3 linked regions of the Cricetulus griseus genome follow. The protein of the gene in region 1 binds, or shares a complex with, the protein of each later gene. Links are inferred from orthologs where the notes say so. Each region holds a gene or a part of one and is shown in the gene's direction. Other genes may lie near its edges.

Evidence for each region.
Region 2: the proteins of Rai2 (region 1) and Ctbp1 are in contact, whole or in part, in a cryo-EM structure (PDB 8ARI), measured with the Homo sapiens proteins. The link is inferred for Cricetulus griseus from reciprocal best matches to the Homo sapiens genes RAI2 and CTBP1. Residues at the interface, in NP_001166210.2 of Homo sapiens: Glu315, Ala316, Leu317, Asp318, Leu319, Ser320, Met321, Lys322, Trp326; in NP_001319.1 of Homo sapiens: Arg36, Cys38, Met42, Val51, Ala52, Phe53, Cys54, Asp55, Gln57, Gln60, Glu61, His63, Val66.
Region 3: the proteins of Rai2 (region 1) and Ctbp2 are in contact, whole or in part, in a crystal structure (PDB 8ATI), measured with the Homo sapiens proteins. The link is inferred for Cricetulus griseus from reciprocal best matches to the Homo sapiens genes RAI2 and CTBP2. Residues at the interface, in NP_001166210.2 of Homo sapiens: Glu315, Ala316, Leu317, Asp318, Leu319, Ser320, Met321; in NP_001077383.1 of Homo sapiens: Leu35, Arg42, Cys44, Met48, Val57, Ala58, Phe59, Cys60, Asp61, Glu67, Ile68, His69, Lys71, Val72.

Annotation. Positions count from the first base shown.
Region 1 is NC_048604.1:96,682,517-96,686,093, forward strand, and holds Rai2 (retinoic acid-induced protein 2), read left to right. Parts: upstream 1-1,334; coding exon 1,335-2,933; downstream 2,934-3,577.
Region 2 is NW_023276807.1:102,317,229-102,321,328, reverse strand, and holds the start of Ctbp1 (C-terminal-binding protein 1), read left to right. Parts: upstream 1-1,265; 5' UTR 1,266-1,455; coding exon 1,456-1,495; intron 1,496-4,100. UniProt on the Homo sapiens protein: Corepressor targeting diverse transcription regulators such as GLIS2 or BCL6. Has dehydrogenase activity. Involved in controlling the equilibrium between tubular and stacked structures in the Golgi complex.
Region 3 is NC_048596.1:67,839,107-67,842,752, forward strand, and holds part of Ctbp2 (C-terminal-binding protein 2), read left to right. Parts: intron 1-1,200; coding exon 1,201-1,355; intron 1,356-1,583; coding exon 1,584-1,728; intron 1,729-3,646. UniProt on the Homo sapiens protein: Corepressor targeting diverse transcription regulators. Functions in brown adipose tissue (BAT) differentiation. Isoform 2 probably acts as a scaffold for specialized synapses.

The DNA of each region.
Region 1 (3,577 bases):
AAATGCCATGGAATTGTTCATTTGTTAAAGCAGCATTCCTGTTATAAGACTGTATTTCTAACACCACGATGTGCTGGATTACCTCTCTCTCTTATTTGAGACCTTGTGATGACAGTTTAGGGTGAGAAGAAAAAGACATGATAACCACAGGACTAAAGTCTACATAGGTAGGACCGGTGAGGTCAAGAATCTGTTTTGCCTCAGGCTCGCCCAGTGAAATTAAGGGTTATTGAATTATTATTAAGCCCAATCACACTCCAGGGCTGCACAGATCCCTGAGTTAGACATGGTGCCTGCCTTCTCCATGGTAACGAAGCTAAATATGGACACGTTTCCACGGAGAGACATACTGCAGCTGCAGCCCTGCTTCCTCCAGGAAGCATCCTCTCTGGGCTTCTTTGCCCCCTAGGAAGTGGCTGTCAGTGTTCAGGAGGTATCTAAGACATCAAGACCATGTCTTTCACTTTTGAGAATTTTTTTCCAACAGATATTTCATTTCTCAGCACTCCTTTCTCTTGGTAATTACATGCTGGGAGAGACCAAAGGTCAGAAAGATGGACATGTGAACCTGATAGGCTCAATGACCATTCATAAAAGCCATTTCATCTTCTCTTTGCCCTGAGGAGTGGGGTTTCTTGTTATCAGAGCAAAGGGAATGTGATTGGCTAGAGGGAGATAGCGAGACAAGTATGATGAGCCTTGGGTAAATATACTGCTCTTTCAAACTCCAAACCTATTAGAAAAATGATTTCTACAGAGCTTTTGAAATGCTTTCTGAAATTTCCCATAATTTTAATATAATCTCCTGATTATATCTACAAAGAGTTTTTAGTGTGTCATACTATAGTCATAGAATATTCAGATGTGACAAGGTTTTATATTTCCGTAAGGGGAAGTAAGTCTACTTATTGCCTTTTCAAATTTGAACTCGTTAGATTTAATCTCTGCATTTCCTAACTGTCTGACAGAGCATTGTGGAACGAAAACTTTGTTTTTGTTGAAAGATCAAAATATAAGCTGAGTATTAGGCTTTAAAATACCCTGTTTAACATCACCTGGCTATTTAGAGATTACATCATGTGTGTTTATAACTTAATCACCTGTAAATTGGGTTTTATAAGCACAGCTGATCATATGTGCGTGTTCGTGTATATTAGGAAATATCTATAATGGGTATGTATACACAGGGAGCTGGGTTGTGCTGCCCAGTTCACTAAGCTATGGAAACTATTTTGAGACTGGAGATATCTTATAAGGCAATTATAAATAGTCTCTTAAGAAAGATTCTTATCGTGTGCTCTGTGTTGCAGGCCACGTGGCACCAGAGAAAAGTGATGGATGACCTGCAGTCCCAGAACCTCTCCATGGACATGACTGACTCCCCTCCCACTTTGGCCAATAACAGACTGGAGAATGGTATGGCCCAGCTGATAACTACTGAGGCCTGGAACATCAATTCCACTGATCTGGTAAAGAAGGCCCTGGTGACCGTGCCGGCTCCATCCATTCTGAACCCCCCAGCTGAGTCTCAGAGTGGAATGGCTCTGAAGGTGGCAGCCACAGTGCTGCAGCCCCTGTGCCTTGGGGAAAGCCCAGTGGTGATGCCCATTCACATGCAGGTGGAGGGAAGCTCTGCACCAGAGCTTAACCCCAACAGCAATGCCACCTATGTTATGACGACACAAGGTCCCGTGCAGCTGCCAGTGGTGCTGGAGCAGCATGTTTTCCAGCACCTCAACTCCCCTCTGGTCCTGCCACAGGAGGCCCCATGCTCCTCAAATGCTATACACAACAACCTCTTCCAGGGGGCCGAGGACTCCGAGGCCCAGCCTCAACTTCTGGACCTGAGGATCCCAAGCCAGCCGCAGGAGCCCACATTGCCATTTGAAGCTGTGCTCCAGAATTTATTCCCCACCCAAGGCTCTCTGGGCCCTCCACCTTGCCAGCCTCCTCCTGGCTATGCTCCAGTGCCTCCGCAGCCCTTTAATTCTCCCTTGTCCCCCCTAGTCCCACCAGCTACCCTCTTGGTGCCCTATCCTGTGATTGTCCCCTTGCCAGTGCCAGTGCCCATCCCCATCCCTGTCCCAGTGCCTCAGAGTTCTGAATCCAAGTTCGGCCCCAGTTTCTCCAAGCCACCATCTTCCTTCAATCTGCACTCCTTTAAAGGCACCCAGACTACCCTGGAAAAAGATGAACTGAAATCCTTAGACATCCTCCAGCCAAAGGAGTATTTCCAGCTCAGCCGCCACACAGTTATCAAGATGGGGAATGAGAATGAGGCCCTGGATCTCTCCATGAAGTCAGTGCCCTGGAGCAAAGCTGGCGAAGCTAGCTCCCCAATCTTCCAAGAGGATGCAGCCCTAGACCTATCTCTGGCAGCCCACCGAAAGGCCGAGGCTCCCCCAGAGACACCGTATGACAGCAGTGGGTCAGCAGACAGCCAGGGTCACACTGTGCTGGAGAAACTTCCCAGTGCTATGGAAATGCCCTTTGCCCCTGCCAAGTCTCGTGAGGCCTCGGCCATGATGGATAGCCATATCAGCGGCAACAATGGCACTGAAATGGTCAACCAGCCCAGCCAGCCCAGCCAGCCGGGCAGTGGGGTGAAGGCTGAAAATAACATTGAGATTATAAGTGAGTCCCAGGCAGCCAAGGTCATTGTCTCAGTTGACGACACTGTGCCTACCATCTTCTGTGGCAAGATTAAAGGCCTCTCAGGGGTATCCACCAAAAACTTCTCCTTCAAAAGAGAAGACTCTGTGCTTCAGGGTTATGACATCAACAGCCAAGGAGAAGAATCCCTGGGAAATGCCGAGCCCCTTAGGAAACCCATCAAAAACCGGAGCATAAAGTTAAAGAAAGTGAACTCCCAGGAAATACACATGCTCCCAATTAAAAAACAACGGCTGGCCACCTTTTTCCCAAGAAAGTAAATAAAGGCTTTTAAAACATTTTTATGATTATGACATGGGGAAAGGTACATTGGTTTTTTAAAAAGTCATCTAAAACAAAATATCTTTGTTAATTATTTTGGGGCACAGGTGGGAGGCAGAAAGGCAAATTAGCTAGAACCATTTTCTTTTTTAATTTTTGACTTTTCACAAATGAGTAAATAAGAGCAACCTATTTTTCAAGCAGATTGCACATTTTTTTGCAGCTTTAATGAAATATTGGGTCAATCAGAGGGGTAAAAGCTATTTTCATTGCCACAAAGTGCTTTGATGATGTAATACCTAATAAAGGGTAGGATGAATATTTCACAATAAATGTTTGTTTGCACTAATTGGTTGCAGTATTCTGTCATTTGTAAAATTTATATTTCTCAACTGGCATGGCTGGCCTAAACTCTTGCTTGTAAAGAGCTCTAATTTATTACTGTTTAGAGACCTAAGCTCTTCAGGCACGTTGGGAAATATTGCCTTGTGCCCCAGAGAAGTAGGATTCAGTGTGTGTATGGCCTCTAGCAAGTCATCTTTTCCTCTGGGCCTTTTTTTGTGGCAAAGGAGTTAGGAGGAAGCAGAGTGGTGAGTTTCAAGTACTCAGGCCTCTTTCAGTTCACTTAGTTCTTGAGTGTTTT
Region 2 (4,100 bases), on another chromosome or scaffold:
TGCCTCTGGGCAATCATAAAGTCAGGTCTCTCTTAGGATGGGTGTGTTCAGACCCTGTCCATTTCCATATCCCTACCCAGCAGCTCTCCACTTCAAATACTCAGGAGTCGACTCCTGCCGGCAAGGGGCTATTTCTGGAGTAGGAGGATGACAGCCCGGTAGTCCTACAGCAGGCACAAGGGTCCAAGTCAACGTGATGGGGACAAGAAACCTGGGCTTCCTCTAGCGCAATGGGAGGCCCTAACGGGTTTCAAACAAGCCCTGATACAGTCTCCCGATGTGGTGGCCCTGGTCGCACTGTGCAAGAAAAATGAGAATTGGGTAGACTGAAATGGGAGGTGTCAGGCTGCCATGGAGTTGCCATGCTAGGATGGAAGAACTGGGAGGAGCCCTTTGGACGATCTCTAGGGAGTTACCTGCTGCCTGAGAAAACTGGAACGGAGCGGGAGAGGCAGTCCAGAGGCAGTTCCGGATGGGGGTGAGGGCTAAGGGGAGGTGTATGTCTGCTGGTCTTACCCCAGCCCTTAGTCTGTTTAGGAAGTACCGTAGCAGGTTTGAAACTCCACCTGTTAGATCCTTTTCTCTATCCATGCCAGCTAATGGATCGAATTGGAAGGTATTTTCAAAGCATTTGCTCTGTAAACAGACGCCCAGACCCTTGTCATCAGTCACTCGATCTGCCCACTTTTCTCAAGATTTGATTTTCACAGCATGTAGGTAACAAAATGGCCTTCAGCACCCTCCAGTTTGGGCTGTTTTCGTGAAAAAATTTTTTTTTTGAACCGCTAAGTGGTATCACTTGCCACGCCTGCCTGACAGTTCCAGAAACAGCCAGCCTCCCACTCAGATCACCTTCCCAGGCTAGGGCGCTGTCCAGCTCCTGGGTCCTGGGTCCGCGGCCCCGGCTCCGGCCGTGCTCAGGCCGGGTGCGCCCCTCTCGCTATCCGCTCGAGGCCGCGGCGACCAGCCCGGTAGCGCCCCACGCGGATGGGCTGCTCCACCACGCGGGCTCCGGCCCGGGTCACCGCGCCAAGGAGTGGCAGAGGCGCAGTCCCGGGTACGCGCAGGGGAGGGGAGGGGAGGGGCGGCCCGGGGCGGGAACATCTGGGGGCGTGTCCAGGAAGAGGATCCAGCCTGGGAGGGGCGCGAGTGGTGGGGGCCGAGCGCCGGGCCGGCGGGCAGCGCGGCCCCTGAGCCGCCCGCGTACGTCCAGCGTGCCGCCTTGCCGGCAAACAGCAGACCAACCGAGGCCCCGCCCGCGCGCGCGCGCGCGTGTCCCCGCCCGCTCGTCGGTCGGAGCGCGGCTGGCGGCGCGCGGTGGCGGCTCGGCACGCGGCGGCCGGGCGCAGGCGGCCGGGCGGAGCAGCAGACTGCGCCGAAGCCGCCCCAGGCGTAGGCCTCGCGGCGGCGGAGACCGCCACACTCATCGGGCGCCGCGGCCACCCGCGCCTTTCAATGGGCAGCTCGCACTTGCTCAACAAGGGCCTGCCGCTCGGTAAGGCCGCCGCGCGCGCGCATTTCCGGCTGCGGCGGGGGGCGGGGGGGGCGGCCGGGCGCGCGCGGCGCTGGCTTTGTGTGCGAGTGCGCGTGCGCGCTCGGTGAGCGCGCCGGGGTTGGGGGGGGCCGGTGCGGCCACAGGGCGGGGCGCATGCGCGAACTGCTGCACATGAGTGCGCGTCCCTATTTTCCCCTACCCGCTCGCGACCCGTGCAGGTGACAAAGAGGCCTGTGGTGCTTCGACCCAGGCTGTGACCGAGCTGGGCCCGTCTTCTTGGCCTATGGCCCCACGAGGCTCCTTCCCGTGGCCATCCGGGCGGGACCTAGGTGTTCCCGGAGTGACGAGCCTGCGAATCCCGCCTGGGCCTCGGGTTGGCGGATCCGGGAGCAGTTCTCTAGAGGTGGCATTGAGGGAACATGGGTGGCATACACGCCCATCACGCCTCCAGGCGACTTAGTGATGCTCAGCTTGGCCCCTGGCCTTGGACCATTTAAGTTTTTTATTCATTTGTGAAAGTCCTTAAACCGCAGGAGTCCTGCTGGTGGAGGGCAGTCTTGGCGGCGTTCGCTGGCTGCGTAGCCTGGCGCACGCGCAGTGGGACCGACCCCACCTTCGGGCGGGGCGGCCCAGAGGTTGCAGAGCCCAGAGGAGCTTTTGCCCACCGTCCTAGCGCCCCATGGTGTCCCCCTCTCTGTCTCTTCTACCTTAATAATAAAAGGGCCTGCCTGAACCCATCTCTGCCCTCACAAGGACACTCACTGCCGTCTTCCTCATAGCCTGAAAGATCCTTGCAGTGTGTGCTGCCAGCAGGAAATACGGAACTGTGGGCACGAGGGAAGGAGGGAGGCGCCCTGTGATGGCCTACTGCGCCTCTTATCACACAAGGCCGTTTCGCAGAGTCTGTCAGCCTGTTTCAGGGTGTGGCAGGGTATGGGCCTCCAGGCCTGCCCTGCATTCTGGGCCGGTGGTAGGTACCCCTCCCCCAAGACTGCACTATTTCAGAGCTGTAACTCCCTGAAGGCATTCTATATATTGTGTGTGTGTTTGTGGGAAGCTACTCTGCACCCAAACCATCAGGGTTATAGGCCAGAATTTCATGTGGGGTAGGGAAGGCAGGCCCAGCTCATTGATTTTCAGAGATAAGGAGGACCGCCTGCATCTTGGCCTTGCCTGTCAAACCTTTCCAGGCCCAGGGCCATCACCCTTGTTCTGATGAGTTTGTGATTGGTTAGGACAAATAAGCTTTCTAGGAAGGAAAAGGGAAGGAGTTTTCTAGTATTCAGGAAGGTGAACCCTGTGAGCCAGGGTGTCAGCAAGATGACACCAAGATTTTCCCTCACTGTTTCTGCTTTGTCATTTCCAGAGTCAGAGAGCATTTGTTCATTATAAACAGGAGTGTACAGGAGCCCACCCCACTGTAGTTGGCATGCAGGACACTAGGCCCACTGCTATAGAATGGAGCCAACATCTTTGAGTCCTGGGGCAGCATGATCTTTGGAAGAACGGTGGCTATGGCCATGAATATGATCCTGGGCTCATGTGTGATCTCTCTGTGTTTCATCCACAACATGGGGTAAATAGCTGTGGGATGTGCCAAGTTCAGGGACAGCTTTGTGGGTATGTGGGGTGATACTGTTCTCCGGAACTGTGTGTGCTTCCTTGTCTTGTTACTATTTAGACTGGCAGCTGTGGTTTGAGGCTGCCCTTTCTCCACTCTGGAGCTTGGTCAGGCATGGCTCTGGTATGTGTGTCAGCCAGCTTCCAGGATGTTTGAGGCTACCATGTCATGTTAGTTGTGCATAATGTAGACTGGAGCCTGTAGATTCTTGGTGGGACCTCAGTGACACACTGCTCTTCCTCTGGTCTCTTACTTTTCTTCTATCACCTGTGGGCCTGTCGTTGGGTTTCAGCAGTGTGCTTAGCCTCTCCAGCTGGGCCTTGGGCTCAGAGAGGTCCAGTGTTCCCCTCAGGGTTTCAGGTAGGATCAGGTCCTTGCCCCCCAGCTTCCAGCAGCTTACTGTTTCCTGCCTGCCTTTTGAACTAAAGTGGTGCCTGTCCTGCCCTGTAACCTGGCCAGAGGCTTCTGTGACCATTCATCCTCAGACCTAGGTACTGCTGAGGACCCTCTTGGAGTAGAACCTGCATGTTACCTGGTGGCCCTGTGGTTCCTGGGCAAGATGTGTGAAGCAGAAATAAATGCCCCGAGGTCTTTGTTGCATGGCAACACCTTTACACCAGCTCTCATTCTGCTGGTGGCAGGAAAGGGTTTGGCCTGCATGGTGCTGGGCAGGGTGGCCTGCCTCCAAGCCCTGGGATGTAAGCTGGTATAAGAGAAGTATTAGTTTATATTGCGTTGGTTTTGTAGTTCAGCCATGTCACTTGAAAGTCTGCCAGCACCAGGGTCTGCACTCTGTATCCTCACAGTCACTGTAATGGTGACTCTGTGAGTTCTGCAGGGTAGACATGTTCAGCCTCCTGAGTCTTTCAGCATTCCTGCAGCAGCTGCAGCACCCTGCCCTCAGGTACTGAGGACCATGATCACAAACATGCACCATCTTTCCCAGAGCCCAGGCTGCGTACTGTGGGGTGACATCTTTAGAAG
Region 3 (3,646 bases), on another chromosome or scaffold:
TTCTGACCTATGTAGTCTGATACTGCCAGACGCTCAACCCATGTTCTTAGACTCTGGCCGTTTTGCACGCTCCCTTAGTAAAAAGAAGGCAGGGTGGCATCAGAACCTCACATACCTCAGCTGCTCATCTGGTTAGCAAGCAGTGCTCTGTAGCTGATTGACAGGATGAATACATCAACAACTGTGTGATGTCACTGTCACCTCACCTTCTGTGACAGCAGCCACCTCCAGGGACCTCACCTGGACCTACTGGGGATAGTGAGGCTTTCTTTTCTTTTCTTTTTTTCCGAGATAGGGTTTCTCTGTGGCTTTGGAGGCTGTCCTGGAACAACTAGCTCTTGTAGACCAGGCTGGTCTCAAACTCACAGAGATCCACCTGCCTCTGCCTCCCTAGTGCTGGGATTAAAGGTGTGCGCTACCAACACCCGGCTGAGGCTTTGTTTTCTTATAGGACCAACCTGTCAGTTACCTGAGCCATGGGCCAGTGAGGACTTGGGGTGTACCCTGCTGCTCACTACCTTGCCATTGCCAGTATGAAAGGATTTTAGAACTTGGGGCACGACCACTCAGGCAGGTGGCAGGTGAATGCTGGGAATGCTATAATATCAGGGTCTGGCTGCCATTCAGTCAGATTCCCTTTCAACACAGCTTGTTCCCGTAAGACCAGGACAAAGACATTCTCTCTACTCTGGGCTCACTGTCTGCCCTGACTGCCAGTATGGTGTGAGGATGTCTCTGCATGCAGTGAGAGGGTGCCAGAGGGAGATGGACACAGCTCTCGGGTCTGTGTATGTTCACATGTGAAATCATAGGACAACTTGCAGGGGTCAGTTCTCTCCTGCACTGTGGGAGTCAGTTACCCTGAAGCCATGCGGCTTGGTGGCAAGTGCCTTTACCCATTGAGCCATCTCACTGGACCAGAGTTTTACTTTATGGGGCAATTCAAGTGAGCTATACAATTGCCCCTCTGGGTCTTAGAGCGAAGTGAGTTCATACCAGAACTCTGCACTTACCCTCCAGTGATCTAGGAACATCACTACCCCTCACTCCCTGCTGCCGCCCCCCCCCCCCCCGTTAGCTGGTAAAGCTGTGTCATGTCCTTGGCTCCACCAGACTTGTGTGCTCTCTGCTTGCCTTGGCATCAGCCACTGAGGACACCCTCCCTACAGTGTACTTACCACACATTTCTTCTCCTTATAGGTATCCGCCCTCAGATCATGAACGGCCCCCTGCATCCCCGCCCCCTAGTGGCACTGCTCGACGGCAGAGACTGTACCGTGGAAATGCCCATCCTGAAGGATCTGGCCACTGTGGCCTTCTGTGATGCACAGTCTACTCAGGAAATCCATGAAAAGGTGGGTTGCACCCCACCTTACCTGGGCCCCTCCAGGCCAGCTGATGTCAGTAAGCACAGTAGTCACACACAGGAATGCCTAAAGTGTATGGAATTCCCGATGTCCTTAGCCTACTCTGCCACCCTCAGGCACTTACTCCATGTCTCCATCCTATAATTTCTGCTAACAAAGTCTCAGAGCCTTGTGTTCCCAGGGGTTCTGACCTGTGACTCATGTCCCTGCCCACAGGTGTTGAATGAGGCTGTGGGTGCCATGATGTACCACACTATCACCCTCACCAGGGAAGACCTGGAGAAGTTCAAGGCTCTTCGTGTGATCGTGAGAATTGGCAGTGGCTATGACAACGTGGACATCAAGGCTGCTGGTGAGCTCGGTGAGTCGAAAGGCCATGCTGGCTGCCTGGAGGCCACACTCAGTAATGGGCAGAACGCAGAAGGCAGGGCAGTTGTCCTAGGGAGTCTTGTTTCCATTTTCCCATGCACCTTTGCCCAGCCTCAGCTCGAAGCAGGTTCAGGGGCTGGAAGATCTTGAGATAAGCAGTAGATTAGTGAGTTCTTCATTGAGCACACCAAAAGAAGCTGGCCACCACCTGCTGTCCATTCCCAGGGTGCTTCTCAGAGAAAACCACAGGCGGGTAGAAAGCTAAGCAGGAAGGTAGAGTACCTGAGTGGCACAGGGGACTCCTGCCCACACCCCCATGAGAATTGGTGTACACTGGCAGCAGAGCCTGGGGGGGTCAGTGGGGAGTGCCTCAGAGCCACGTATTTTGTCTGAATAAAGTGTGCCGCCTCTTTATTCATGAGCCTCATGCATTTGAAATACCTCAGAATAACTAGAAACCCATGTACCGATGGTGCCACAGCAGCCTGAGCATAGTAATGCTCGTACCATCAGCCTGGGCCTACCACCTGCTGCTGCCTCACCCCAAGGGCTCCTGGAACTAACTCCTAGGACAGCAAAGCCAGGTGTGCGCAGTGCCTCACAGTCATCTCTGCACCGGGCCTAACGCTAGACTCGACAGCTCTGTCTATAACCCAGACACACCCGCCATGCTGGCCACTGAAGCAGCACTGGATCCAACTTCCCTTCACAGTCTGAGCCTGCAGCTTTGAGAGGGGTGGGTGCCTGTTTTTAGTTTTCTGTTTCTTTGCATTTAGAGCAGCAGTTACTATGAGCCTGAACCCCAGGATAAGAAAAGGACAAAGGAAGCTGTGCCGGGTGGCACCAGCCAATGCCCACAGTATGTCTGTGGGGCAACCTCACAGGGGAAGGTAGACATCTCATGTAAAGCAGAATCAGTCCTATTCAGCCCGGGCTTTTGAGAGTCCTGGGTAATCATGGCTTCCTATGTCCCTACCCTAAGCAGCCTTGTTCTTTTCCAGTTACAGCCCCTCTGAGCCCCTCTTTGGCAACAGAAGAAACTTGTTGTGATTGATGTGAGGCCACGTACCTGAGTTTAATTGAGAAAACTACCTGGTGCGGTGTTATACACCTGTTATCCAGGGAGGTCTCTTGAGTTTGAGGCCACCCTGGTCTGCATAGCAAGTTTGAGCCTAGCCTTAGCTACTTAGACCCTGTCTCAGAAAAAGAAAGAAAAGAAAAAAGATGTTTCCCAGACACGAGCAAGTATGCTTGTGTTTAAAAATATGTATCTGAGCCTGAAGGAAGTGGCCACACACCTTTAATCTCAGTACTCTGGGAGGCAGAGGCAGGTAGATCTCTGAGTTCAAGGCCAGCTTGGCCAATGGAGTTAATTCCAGGCCAGGGCTGTTACATAGAGAAACCCTGTCTAGAAAAAAAGCAAACAAAAGACGTGTGTCTGTCAGGAATAGAGATAAATTCCCTGAGTTGGGACTATGCAGGAAGACATTCAGCTTTCTAGCCCATTGTCTCTCACACATAGTTCCTGTTGGTAGTCAGCCCCTCTTCTCCAGTCAGAGTCCAAGAAACAGACTGCCTAGGGCCAGAGCGTTGAAAAGTGTAAAGGGGACACGAAGTGTCACTATTGTGGCCCATTGTGATTGGAGTGGCTATTCAGAAGACTTCTGCTAATGAAATAGATGGTCCTCCAGCAGTGTCTGTCATTTAGCTCTAAGTACATATGGTGCCTATCAAGTCAGCCAGCAGACCCTTTGGAGAGTAGTAAGACGAGTGGCAGGTGTGCCCTGTTCCTGGAAGGGAACACTCCACAGTGGACCTAGCAGGTAGTGATAACTGGGTCTTGTGTGAAGCCCTCTGTATCTATAGGTGCAGCCCTTCAATCTGTTTAATGCAGGGCAGCACTTACCCAC